2 linked regions of the Sus scrofa genome follow. The protein of the gene in region 2 binds, or shares a complex with, the protein of the main gene of each other region. Links are inferred from orthologs where the notes say so. Each region holds a gene or a part of one and is shown on either strand. Other genes may lie near its edges. The genes, in order: lysine-specific demethylase 6A-like and NCOA6.

The links.
Region 1: NCOA6 (region 2) and lysine-specific demethylase 6A-like share a complex: the UniProt entries of both Homo sapiens proteins name them as parts of the MLL2/3 complex. The link is inferred for Sus scrofa from reciprocal best matches to the Homo sapiens genes NCOA6 and KDM6A.

Annotation. Positions count from the first base shown.
Region 1 is NC_010462.3:9,084,220-9,091,080, reverse strand, and holds the start of lysine-specific demethylase 6A-like, read left to right. Parts: upstream 1-3,110; 5' UTR 3,111-3,459; coding exon 3,460-3,611; intron 3,612-3,803; coding exon 3,804-3,867; intron 3,868-6,861. UniProt on the Homo sapiens protein: Histone demethylase that specifically demethylates 'Lys-27' of histone H3, thereby playing a central role in histone code. Demethylates trimethylated and dimethylated but not monomethylated H3 'Lys-27'.
Region 2 is NC_010459.5:38,217,322-38,223,849, forward strand, and holds the start of NCOA6 (nuclear receptor coactivator 6), read right to left. Parts: upstream 4,581-6,528; 5' UTR 4,377-4,580; exon of another isoform or gene 4,372-4,376; intron 1-4,371. UniProt on the Homo sapiens protein: Nuclear receptor coactivator that directly binds nuclear receptors and stimulates the transcriptional activities in a hormone-dependent fashion. Coactivates expression in an agonist- and AF2-dependent manner.

The sequences.
Region 1 (6,861 bases), on a different chromosome or scaffold from region 2:
CTTTTGAAACTTTTTTTTTTGGTCTCTCACGCAACGTGTAAGTTCCTGGGCCAGAGATCAAAAACAGCACAGCAGTGACCTGAGCTGCTGCAGTGATAATGCCAGATCCTTAATTTACTGAGCCCTAGGGAACTTCTTGAAAGTATTTTTGATGCTAATATAAAGGACAAACTTTAACTGTATGTATAAATCTAGTCATGATTTTGTCATGTGATCTTTTAAGATCTGTATAAACTATGACCTAAATATTCCACAATATCTGTATTTCTGCTTGTGCAAATGTATTTAAAAATGCCAAAAATTCCTCAGTCTTGAGGGTCACCTTATTGCAGTTAATTTACTCATTACAGACATTCTGAGGAATCTGTCTGTAATCATTAACAAATAGAGTAAGGAAAATACAGTAGAAGTGTTTCAGAGGAAGCAATTAATTAGACAGTAAACTTTTTTTTTTTTTTGGTTTTTTTGCTATTCCTTGGGCCGCTCCTGTGGCATATGGAGGTTCCCAGGCTAGGGGGCGAATCGGCACTGTAGCCACCGGCCTACGCCAGAGCCACAGCAACGTGGGATCCGAGCCACGTCTTTGACCCTACACCACAGCTCATGGCAATGCCGGATCCTTAATCCACTGAGCAAGGGCAGGGACCGTACCCGCAACCTCATGGTTCCTAGTTGGATTCATTAACCACTGCACCACGGCGGCAACTCCTAGACTATAAACTACTAAACTAGAGGTAGTACAGTTACTATTCTTCAAAGAGCAATGAAAATACGGGTGCAAAATACTAGGGATTCCAGAGCTCCTCATTAAATGTGTTAGAATTTATTGAGTCATCTATCTCTAAATGAAACAACATAATTTGTCTTAGGACTTAGACAAGTAAAGTAATTCTTTCAGCAGAGAAAGAATTCAGTAACAGAGTGACAGGTAAGAAGAGTTTATCAGCGTTCCCGTCTTGATGCAGTGGACAACAAACCTGACTAGGAACCATGAGGTTGCATGTTCAATCCCTGGCCTCTCTCAGCAGGCTGAGGATCTGGCATTGCTGTGAGCTGTGGTGTAGGTCACAGATGCTGCTCAAATCCTGCGTTGCTGTGGTTATGGAATAGGCCAGAGGCTATGGCTCTGATTTAGCCCCTAGCCTGGGAACCTCCATGTGCTGAGGTTTCGGCCCTAAAGAGCAAAAAAAAAAAAAAAAAAAAAGAAGAAGAAGAAAAGGGTTTATCAGTACAGGACATTTCTGAGATTTGTGTGAAATACAAGGAGGAAGGCAAAGGAATGCCAAGCTGAGAACTTAATAGCTACAGTTCTAAAATCAAAGGAAAAGTGGGGAAGGGGATTAAGACCTCCTTCTTCCTCCTCCTCTAAATAGTAGCAGATATCAAGCTTCCATCATCAAGTTTGGGGGGGGGAGTTTTCTTGTCCCTGTCTGGTCAAACTGGGACTGTCATGGCACAATGGAAATGAGCAAAAAGGTGATAATACACACTAACATATGGGAAATCAGCTCAGATTTCAGTAGACTGCCACTTTTCCCTATGTTTTTGTTTTTAGTGTGTACAGAGAAGCATGTCCTAGGAATCACTGGCTTACTAACCTCACTAAACAAGATGTAGGTCTCATTTTACTATTCCTTTATCATCTGGAGGCATATTTCATGCTTCTGTTCCATGGTTTTGCTGCTAAGCAAGCCTGCTTTCTTGCATTACCATTAATTTATATACCCCCCAATTTTTTTTTTTTAACAATCCCCTAATAGGATCAACTACTTAATCACCTGTTTCTGCCCTTTAGTCTGTAACTATCATAAACTGTCCTCCTCTTTATGTAAATCAAAGTTTAAATACATTTTGTCTGTTTTAGATCAAGGGAAATTTTCCCAAAACTAAGTATTTCAGGCAACTATTTTTAAAAAATAAGCATTTTCCTAATCTTACAAGTATTTTTTAAGATACTTATTAAAAGTTAGCATTTTTCAGGAGCTCCCGTCCGTGGCTCAGCTAAAAGGAATCCAACTGGGAACCATGAGGTTGCGGTCCGATCCTGGGGCTTGCTCAGGTTAAGGATTTGGCCATGTGGTGAGCTGTGGTATAGGTCATAGACCCAGCTTGGATCTGGCACTGCTGTGTCTGGGGCACAGGCCCAGCAGCAACAGCTCAGATGCGAACTCCACCCTGGGAGTGGGGTTGGGTGTGACCTTAAAAAGCAAAAAAAAAAAAGAAAGGGATTTTCCCAATTAATAACAACTGGAGGTACAGCGCAGATGATATTGCATAAAGTATCACACAAGAGTTGCCCGTTTTAAGAAAAGTAATTTACAGAGGCCTAATTTTCCCCACAATTGTATTATTTACAACCTGACAAAAGCAAAATAAGAAAGTATTGTTACGTTTTGTTTTCTAAGGCTTACAGCATCTCCAGTTAGGGTCTTAAATATTTCTTCGCAGCTTGGATCACCCGCCCATTTTGGGATCAGTGCGGGAGGCACCAACAACGTTTGGAGTTCTAGCTGGTCAGCCAGACTCCCCGAAAGGCTGCTGGGATCTGGTGGGTGGGCTGTGGTCTCAAGGTTCTTACCTCTCCCTTTACGACCCGGGATAGGAAACCCGGCAGGAAGAGTTAGTTAGGGCCGCGTGGTTATTATTTTCCAAAGGTGCCAAAAGTCTTGTCTTCCAGGATCGGAGGTTCAAGTGTTACACTTGTTATGATCCAGGTGGTGAGAGTTTCCATAATATTACAACGCCTGTGTCAGTGCCGCAGCTGAAAAAGAGCTATGAGTCCTCCATCTGTGCTGTCGTCTGCCGCAGTATCTTCTAGGTTTCAATCTTCTCCATCATTCCCTTCCTCAGCTTGTTATTAACGAGGCCGAGACACTCCATTTTTTACAACGATGTAGAACAGTTTGCTGTACATGTTGCACACCCTTTTCCAAATCAGCGAGTCCGCTAACCAATTTACCCACGAAAGTTTGCGCCCCTTCCGGTTCCTGTACGGGTCGGCGGTGACTTCGTGGGAGTGATTGGGTATCTAGCAAGTTCGGTTGAGCCGCAAGTGACGTGAGTCAACAAAGGTCACGTGAGGCAAGCCCTTCGCATCAATTGGCGGCGCCGGGTTTAGGGGGTGGGGGCGTCACGGTTACTCGGGGTTTGCCCGGTGACACGATTGCAACTTTGTGCGGGTGCTGGCGAAGTTTGTAAGTCTAAGATAGTCTTCCATTACAGCGGGCTTCCGCGTTTTCTGCTGTCATCGCATACTCCATGATGTGACCTCGGCAGCCGAGTTGCGCAGCGTGGGTATTCGCTGTTTTTGCTATCAGCTTGGGCTTTTTCATCACCGCCACCTGCGTTGCTTGCTATAAAGTTGGTTTGCCTGTGTGTAGCGCCAAGACCTTCTTTTCGCGTCCTGGACTGGGGTTTGGTACATTTCGGCCTTGAGAATTTTACATTTGTTGCGTTTCAATGAAATCCTGCGGAGTGTCGCTCGCTGCCGCTGCAGCTGTTTTCGGTGATGAGGAAAAGAAAATGGCGGCGGGAAAAGCCAGCGGCGAGACGAAGGAGAGTTCCCTCAGCTTGACAACCGAAGAGAAGGAGGCGCTTAGCGGAATGGACAGGTACGGACCGCTGTTACTCTCCCACGTGGCTACCGACCGGCTGCAACCGCTCATCGGGGTAACTTGAGCTCGAGTTACCTCTGGTGGCGGCGTCGTCCAAGTGGTTGCTGCCACCCGTGCCTCGGGATGGGGAAGGGACCGGTCAGTGGCTTTACTTACGCGTTAATAAGTTGTCTGTATTTTCTCCCATAGCCGCCTCTTTGGGTTCGTGAGCCTGCATGAAGATGGCGCCAGGACTAAAACTCTGTTGGGCAAGGTAAGGCAGTCTCGGGGGCCAACGCAGTCCCCCGCTTGTGCCCTGTTGTCTTTGCCACCTGCAGCCACTGAGGCGCGTTGTGGCAGAAAACGAAAAATTATTTTGCTCTCTTCTCACCTGGATACCTCGCTTACTGCCTGGCAAAATTCTGTATTGTTGCTTGAGCAGCAGAGACGTCGGGGTTTTCGGGCAACGCCTAACGGTTATTTTGGAGCATTTTCTTTAGGAAATGATTCCTGAATTTCAGTATCACAGAGTCGTGAACGTGTGCAGATTGAAATTTTTCAAATTCCCATGCGCTGTTCTTTTTTTTTTTGTTGTTTTCTTTTTTTCCCCTTTGACGGTCGGCTTGAGAGATCTGCTTTTAAGTGATCGTTTTAAACTTTAATTACTCATGTTCTCAGAAGGGATAGTTTGTATATCCTTTGCAACCGTGAAGAGTTTGAATTGGGTATTGAACCAGTATACTGATTGGTGTGTTTTCGAACCGGGTAAACTGTTTGTTTGGGTTTAGCTGCTTAGATTTATTGCTGACAATGCCAATAATCCCCCGCCCCCCCCCCGCCCCCAGCACCTTGTTTTTGGTGTCTGACATAGACGGGCGAGTTTTCTCGGTTTATCTGTGTAAAAAGTTATCGGCACTGTCACTTAGTTAATGGCTGCCCCATCGGCCAAGATGGCGGGAAATAGTGGGTGGGGAAATGACGACGTGAGTTTTGAAGGAGGGAAGAGATATAAACAAGGAAACGCTAGCGGTAAGCGTGCTTTTGCATTGGTTACTGTGTCTTGATGGTGCATAATAAAAATTTAGCACTGATATTTAAAAGTAGAATTCTTAGATTACCAAGCTTTACAACAGCATTCGTGAACCTAAAATGTGCTTTGCAACCTGGGATCTATTTAGTCGTAGTAAACGATTGCACAAATACCATGTAATCTCAGTTGCACAAATACCATGTAATTTCAATCTTCTGAGCAAAATCTAGTTAAAATATATTTTTCTTTCATTTCATTCCATGGAAGGGGGTCATATTTCCATTAGATATTTACTTTTCTAACCGAGACTGGTAGCTGTGAATTTGTCTTACCTTTTGCTCCATTTCAGAAGGACGTATTAAGTATGTATGCTTTTTTTGTTTTGGTTGCACCCACAGGCATATAAAAGTTCCCTGGATCCTTTAACTCATTTTTGCCAGGCAGGGGATGGAACATGCACCTCCACAGCAATCTGAAGTGCTGCAGTGTTATTTTTATTGCACTGACTATAGGTAGAACGCTAATAAATTTTATTTTTAAGTTATTTTTGACAGTTTCTGTTGTAGTTCAGCAGTAATAAGCCCAGCTAGTGTTCATGAGGCTGAAGGTTCAATCCCTGACCTTACTTGGTAGATTAAATATCGGGTGTTGCGGTGAGCTGTGATGTAGGTCCATGGCTGCAGGTCTGATTTCCACCTCTAGCCTGAGAACTATGCTGCAGGTGTGGCCTAAAAAAATTTTTTTTTCTTGTCGAGAATTCTGAGCTGTACTTGAATTTATGTAATCTTAAATTTTTTTTTAACCTGTAATCTCACTTTTATCTTTGTTTTTAAGGCAGAAAATGACCATGAGATAGTGTAATAATTTGTCATCCAATCCATTTAATAAAACTCGAATTAAGCTTTGGTCATGTAGGTAATTATTACTCCGTTAACCTTATCACTGGGAGAGTAAACAGTGACTTTCTCTGATAGTATTTAAGCAGCAGTGAAGTGAGCCAGAGCAATGATAATGCCGGACCCTTAACTGCTAGGCCACCAGGTATTGCCTATTTTTTTTTTTCTTAATTTTTATTAAAAAACTCAGTATTTAAATATTTTATCGAAGTTCCCATCGTGGCTCAGCTAGTTAAGAACACAAACAGTATCCATGAGGTTGTGGGTTCAATTCCTGGCCTCTCTCAGTGGCTAAGAATTAAGGATCCAACATTACCCTGAGCTATTGGCCATAGGGCCAGATGGACTTTGGTTCTTGCCTTTTTGTGGCTGTGGTGTAGGCTGGTAGCTGCAGGTCTGATTCAATCCTAGCCTGGAGACTTCTGTATGCTGCATGTGGTTTTGTTGTTGTTTTTTATTTTTTTAATTTTTTTTGGTCTTTTTTTTGCTATTTCTTGGGCCGCTCCTGCGGCATATGGAGGTTCCCAGGCTAGGGGTTGAATTGGAGCTGTAGCCACCGGCCTACGCCAGAGCCACAGCAACGCGGGATCCGAGCCGCGTCTGCAACCTACACCACAGCTCACGGCAACGCTGGATGCTTTACCCACTGAGCAAGGGCAGGGATCGAACCTACAACCTCATGGTTCCTAGTCGGATTCGTTAACCACTGCACCACCATGAACTCCCAGAATAACTTTCGAAGTAACTTTTTAAAAAACAACAGTTCCCGTCGTGGCACAGTGGTTAACGAATCCGACTAGGAACCATGAGGTTGCGGGTTCGGTCCCTGCCCTTGCTCAGTGGGTTAACGATCCAGTGTTGCCGTGAGCTGTGCTGTAGGTTGCAGACGCACCTTGGATCCCACGTTCTCTGGCTCTGGTGTAGGCCGGTGGCTACACCTCTGATTAGATCCCTAGCTAGGAACCTCCATGTGCCACTGCAGTGGCCCTAGAAAAGGCAAAAAGACCAAAAACAGAAAAAAAAAGAAATTCTGATAGACTGAAAAAATCTTGACTGTAAAGTAATGTTATTTCATGTTGTAGAGGCTTAATTTTTAACTTGTGTTGAAGTTGAATATACTGATGGAAATTTGAAAATGGGTGAATCTATTACTTTAATTTTTTGTTTTATTTTTTTTTGCTCTTTAGGGCTGCATCCATGGCATATGAAGGTTCCCAGGCTAGGGGTGGAACCAGAGCTATAAATGCTGGTCTACGCCACAGCCACAGCAAGACAGGATCCTTGACCCACTGAGAGGCCAGAGATCAAATGCACAACTCCAGGGTTACTAGCCTGATTGTTT
Region 2 (6,528 bases):
GGCATTGGGTGTGGCCCTAAAAAGACAAAAGACAAAAAAAAAAAAAAAAAAAAAGGTTCTGGGATAATTAATTATACATTAACAAAAAATGAAATGACCCTACCTCACACTAACCACAAAAGTCAATTCCAGACAGAGATCTAAACATCAAAGGCAAACAGTAGAGATTCAAAAGGTTAATATAAAGAATAACTTCAAGGGTTCCCACTGTGGCACAGCAGGTTAACAATCCAACTACAGCAGCTCAGGTGGATAGGAGACACAGGTTTTTGATCCCCTCCCAGCGCAGTGGGTTTAGGATCCAGTGTTGCCACAGCTGTGGTGTAGGTTGCAGCTGAGGCTCAGATTCAATCCCTGGCCTGGGAACTTCCAAATGCTGTGTGCATGGCCATAAAAAAGAATAACTTCAAAATCTTGGGGGAGGAAAAGATTGATAAACTTAATTAAAATCCAGACCTTCTTTTTAACAAAAGATAACTAGTTTAAAAAATTAACAACAAATTCGGAAATGAAATCTGTAATAATACAACCAACAAAGGATTAATAATCAGAAAATATAAAGAAATCTTTTGAAAAAGATAACCCAATAGAAAACCGACGAAACGAGCCCTAGAATGGCTGTGAAAACTTGGCACTAACCACAGCTGCCACACAGTGGACCCCGAAACAGTAGATCTTGGCATCACTGACCAATATAAAATATTCAAGGGTTTATGTCATGCTGCAGGTACACAGAGTATGAGGGACCAAACCAGAAAGACAGTGCCATCATATAGGAACTGGATGGTAAATCAGAAGTTTAATGTCCAACATTCAGCTACATAGATTAGGGAATGGCAAACATCATGAGCAAACGGTCAGAAAGTAAACATTTTCAGCTTTGTGAGCTAAATATTCTCTGTCACAACTACTTAACTCTGCCACTGGCAGCGTGAAAGCAGCCAAAGGCAATATGTAAATTAATGTGTGCCTATGTTGCAATAAAACTTTATTTACATAAACAGGTGGTGGAATAGATTTGATCCATGGACCATAGTTTGCCAACCTCTGACACTGACAGCTGTGATATTTCTTACACTCTAGGAATACTTCCAGTCTTTCACTGTTGACACCTCTGATTTTCTTAAGCAATAAACGACATCACTCTTGACAGCTTTGCAATGGCTTCCAAAAGTCTATTACTCTACCAAAAACATCTTTCCCTTATTATCTGAGACAATTCTCTCTCATTTTCCTTTCAACCTTTTTTTAAACTTCTTTGACAGCCATCATCCCAAACTAGAAATGTAAAAAAATTCACCCTCTCTCTCACTACTCACAACGTAATTATATCAATACGTGAAAATTCTAACTCTGTTCAATGCTTACAGTTTCTGCCTTAGTTCAGGCCCTCATGACTACTTCCCTGCTATCCTGTTCACGCTCCTTCCAAAACACATCCATTTATCCCCTAAAAATTAAACCTCATTGTAACTCCTTGAAAACTCTGACTACCTCTCTAAAATCCAAGGATTCAGTCCAAATTCCTTAACAAGGTCCTTCACAATCAGGTCCCAAAACAACCTTCCCCGTCTCATCTCCAACCACTCTCACAACACACTATGCTCCAGCCACATTACATTACATTCCCATGCATGCCCTTACCTGAAAGCTCTTCTCTCCAATTCTGCATCTGGCAAACTACTCTACCCTTCAGGACACACATCAAGGGTCACTTGTTCACAGAGCCTTCCCGGATTCCTAGAGCAGAGACATACCTTCTTCTGTGTCCTTCTTACTACCTACATACCTACTTACATACCTACATCTGTATCCTTCATGTAACTCTCCTTTGGCGCTTACCATCCTGAACTGTCATTGTTTACATGTTCACTTCTCTCATGGGACTAAATATCCAAAGTGAAAACACCCTGCCTTGCTATAAAGACCTTAAGACTCCTCAGAGCCTAGCATGGTGGTTGACCTAAGTAGATGTCTTAGGGCACAATAAATGTGGTTTGAATGGAAGACATTCTTTGTGGTTTCTTAACCTGAGGTTCATACATGGGAGTCCACAGACAGAATTCAGGGGCATCTGTGAACTTGGACAGGAAAAAAAATTACCTCTTTATTTTCACTGACTTCTAACCAAAAGGAACTATTTTCTTCAAATATGAATGTAGGCAATAAACCATCTGGTATTAGCAGTATCTGTGTCTCTGCACAGTAATCACAGATATCTTTATATTACAGTTGTTACAGCTATCTTAAAAATTACAGATATTCATCACATCTTTAAAAGTATAATTATTGGACATATATCTGTATTATTATATCACAACTTGTATACTTAGGTATTTCAATATTAATTGGTTTCTCTATACTCCAATGTATTTTATTTTATGCAATTAAAAACTATTCTGAGAAGAATCCATAACCTTTGCTAGATGCTAAAGGGCATAGACAAAGTTAGGCCTTCCAGCATAGAGAGACCCAAAACAAATAAATTATGTTGCTGTATACAGGTACTGGACATATACTGAAAATCTTATTGCTACAAACATCCTCATAACCTTTTTGTTGAAAGTCCTTTTTGTTATGTGGGAGCCCTGGAATTACTTATATGACTAATTTGCAGTTTCTCTCAGAATTCCCTCATAGCCCATGGGGACTGTGAATTCTTCTCTACCATGATTAAACTTCAATTACAGTTTGGTCATGATAGAGATCCTGGGTCTCTACCATCGTTTACTATTGCCTTCTTAAGCTTTTTGTGTCCCTTTGCTGTTTAGTAAACACCTAAAAGAGACGGAGCAGCTCTTAAACCTCTAGAAAGTTAGATGTCAAAAGGGTCCTAAAGATAAATTCTCTGGACAAATGAAACTTCTCTCATCAAATAGCTGGTTACCTATACTTTTTTTGTATCCTATTCAGTGTTGTTTTGTTTTGTTTCCTATGGCCCCATCCCCAGCACATGGAATTTCCCTTGCCAGGGACAGAATGTGAGCCACAGCTGCAGCAATGCTGGATCCGTCAATCCACCGTGCAGGCCAGGGATGGAACCAGCACCTCTGCAGCGACCCAAGCTGCTGTGGTCAGATTCTTAACCCACTGGGCTCCTGTATCCCTTTCAGTTTTTGTACTAGACAAACTCATTACAAAAACAAAATAAATTATTTAATGATTCTTTGACATATGCTGCCATGCTTGACTCCCTAACAATTTCTCCCAGCTAGCAAATTCCTCTAAGACAATGTGTTGAATGAGACAGCAGCAGGCTAAGTTCCAGTACCTCTTCTGCCATTAACTGCTTAGATCTTTAGAAGTCATGTTTTCCTTTCTGTCTCAGCTAAAATCACTACATGATCTGAAATCCTTACATGATCTAAGAACTATACATTCATTCCTCTGCACCATTCCTACTGGCTTCACTAACACCTTTCGGATGACCTCCCCAGGTGACCCTGCTCTTAAAACAGTGGGCTGTTCCCTTCCTGGGAAGACACCTTGGGTCACCGCCCACAAACAGCCTGGTCCCTCCTTTTAAAGACACACACAAACTCCCAAAGTTGATGGAGACTCTTCTGGCCAACCACTTTCATTCCGCATCTCTTGCTGGCCAGCTCCTGCATCCAAACCTCAGTCCCCCTTTTCTCTTTTCCTCATCAAAGCCTTACTTTATTCTGTTCCTCTTCCCAATGAGGAGTGGAGGATCCTGAGGGCAAATATGTCCTCAGCCCCCTGGGAGTTATACGGACTTGCCCTGAGACTCCGAAGACTGCCCCCAATCTGATACCAGCGTCTGTACCTAAAGGGCCCCCATTTCTAATCACAACCCCAAAGAACTGTCCCAGCCCTGACAGCCTGAGCTCAGATCCCACGCCCCTCCGCGCCCTACCTGCCTGGGATCATGAACACTGCCTAAACCAGCTCCAGATCCTGCTCTCCTAGCCCCAGTGATCCAGACCCCAGCTCCGTTTGGACCCAACGTCCCTTCTCCGCGACCCCGACCACGACCCCACGTCCGGCTCCCGCCAGTTCTTCGGGCCTGGAGCGCCACCCGGTGCAGACCCTGGCCGGCTCAGCACTCCCTGAGCGCCCCAGACACCTTGTCCTGCACCCTCCCCATCCCGCCCAAGCCCCCCGCTCCCTCCAGCGCCCCCGCCCGTAGGCCCGGGGCCCGCTCCCCAACATGGCGACGGGGACACGAGCGCGGCGGGCAGGCAGGCGGGGCGGCTCCGGGCCGGGCCCGCACAGGGGCCGTGCTCCACGGTCGGCCGGCGCCATTTTCCCGCGCCGGGCCCGGGCGGCGCCTCCTTCCCACGAAGCTAACCGGGCCAGCACCAGGGACGCCCGGCGGGCCCACCCCTTACGGGCCCGCGTCGCCGTCACCTCACCTGAGCGCGGCCCCAGCCCTCCCGGGCGGGCCTCGGAGCACCGGCCCGGGCCGTGGATGCCCGCGGCCCTCCGTGTGTCCGTCCGTCCGTCCTCGCCTGCGCGGGTCTATCTGGCCGTCGGCTCCCGGCCGCCCGCAGCCCGACCCGGCTGGGCCTCAGGGAGCCGGCGGGGAGGGGGATGGGCCGGACCGGGCCGGGGAGGGAGGGGGAGGGAGGGAGAGAGGGAGGGAGCGCGGGAGAGGGCGGGGCGGACTAGGGGCGGGGAATTGGCCACGTGACCAAACGTCTCCGAGTGCGCGAGGTAGCGCGCGCCCGCTCACTTCGGTATAGAGCTTAGTGTGGCGATCTGCTGGTTTTGTATCTCGACGAGGTAGTGTCGTCAGTGGCTTCTGCCTCCACTTTGCAGTCACTGCACAATCCTATAAGAGCCCTCTGGCTGAATGTCCTTGGGCAGGTCAACTCTCCATAAGCCTCGATCTATGCACATGAAATATACAGATAATAATAGTGTTTGCAAAGAGGAAATGAAGGAAGGCATGGAAAGCGCTTGACACAGTGCCTGACACATAGTATGTAATAACGTTAATGATGATAAACTTTAGCCTTTATTATTTGCTTGTAAGTCCCTCTCTACTTTCTCCCATCACAGTTGCCCTACCAAGCTCTGAAGGTACAAGGGAGTGTGGCCCCCTCCCCTCTCCACAACTGTAGGAAGGCCTACCCAGCACTGATGTCTGTCATAGGCCTGCATTCGGATCTGGCTTTCACTCGATAGCTATGTGATTTTCTCTGCCTCTGAACTCAGCTTTCTCATCTATAAAATGGAAATTAAAGGTCTGTTACAAGCATCATATTAGATTGCACAGCTCAGGCACACTAGTCTTATCTAAGAAAAAGAATCCTTTCATTCCACAAATATTTATTGAGCACACACTCTGTGTGTGCCCGGACTGGTGAAGTAGCCATCTAAGGCCTTTTCATGTTCTCCTTAGCTCCCCTTCGATCTCTTTTCCACCCTCCTGTTAGAGTAATGTTTCTAAGAAATCTGATCATGCCTCTCCTGTATTTAAAACTGTTTGATGGGGAGTTCCCTTCATGGCTCAGCGGTTAAGGAACCCAACTAGGCTCCATGATGATGCAGATTCCATCCCTGGCCTCCTTCCGTGTGTTAAGGATCCTGCATTGCTATAGCTGTGGCTTAGGCTGGCATCTGTAGCTCTGGTTCGACCCCTAGCTTGGGAACTTCCCTATGCTGCAAGTGTGGCCCTAAAAAAAGCAAAAGCAAAAAAAAAAAAAAAAAAAAAAAAACTATGTGATGGCTCCACACTGCTCTTAAGATAAAGGCCAAATGGGAGTTCTTTTGTGGCGCAGCAGGTTAAGGATCCAGCGTTGTCACTGCAGTGGCTTGGGTTGCTGCTGTGGTGTGGGTGCGATCCCTGGCCTGGGAACTTCCAAAAGATAAAGGCTGAATAGTAGTTCCCATTGTGGCTCAGAGGGCTGAGAACTCTACATAGCATTCATAAGGATGTGGGTTCAACTCCTTACCTTGCTCAGTGGGTTAAGGATCTAGCATTGCTGCAAGCTGTGATGTAGGTCGCATATGTGGCTATCTGGTGTTGCTGTGGCTGTGATACAGGCCGGCAGCTGCAGCTCCAATTTGACCCCTAGCCTGGGAACTTCAGAATGCAGTGCAGCCGTAAAAAGAAAAAAAAAGAAAGATAAAGACCAAATATCTGTCTCACTTTTGCCCTTCCCACATCTCCAGACTTCTCTCAGGCCCTCTTCCCCTCTCTGGAGTGGCTGAAACTACACTGACCTTCACACATTGTACTTCCTCTCTTCTCAGGACCTTGCACATACTGATTCTTCCACCTGAAATATCCCCCCTCCTTGGATAATTCATCAGCCTCAGATCCTAGTTCAAACATCACTACGCCAAGTACACCTTCCCTGAGAACTCCCCAGACAGGTTCCCCTTGCCCTCAGTAGGATTACTGGGTTGTTTATTGCCTGTCTTCACGAGGCTGTGGACCAAATTAGGAGGAAGACTATATATCTTATTTACTGCTGTTTCCTCATGATATAGCAAAGTGCCTGGCACAAAGGAGATGCTCAATAAATATTTGTTGTGTGTGAATCCCCAAAAGTGTGG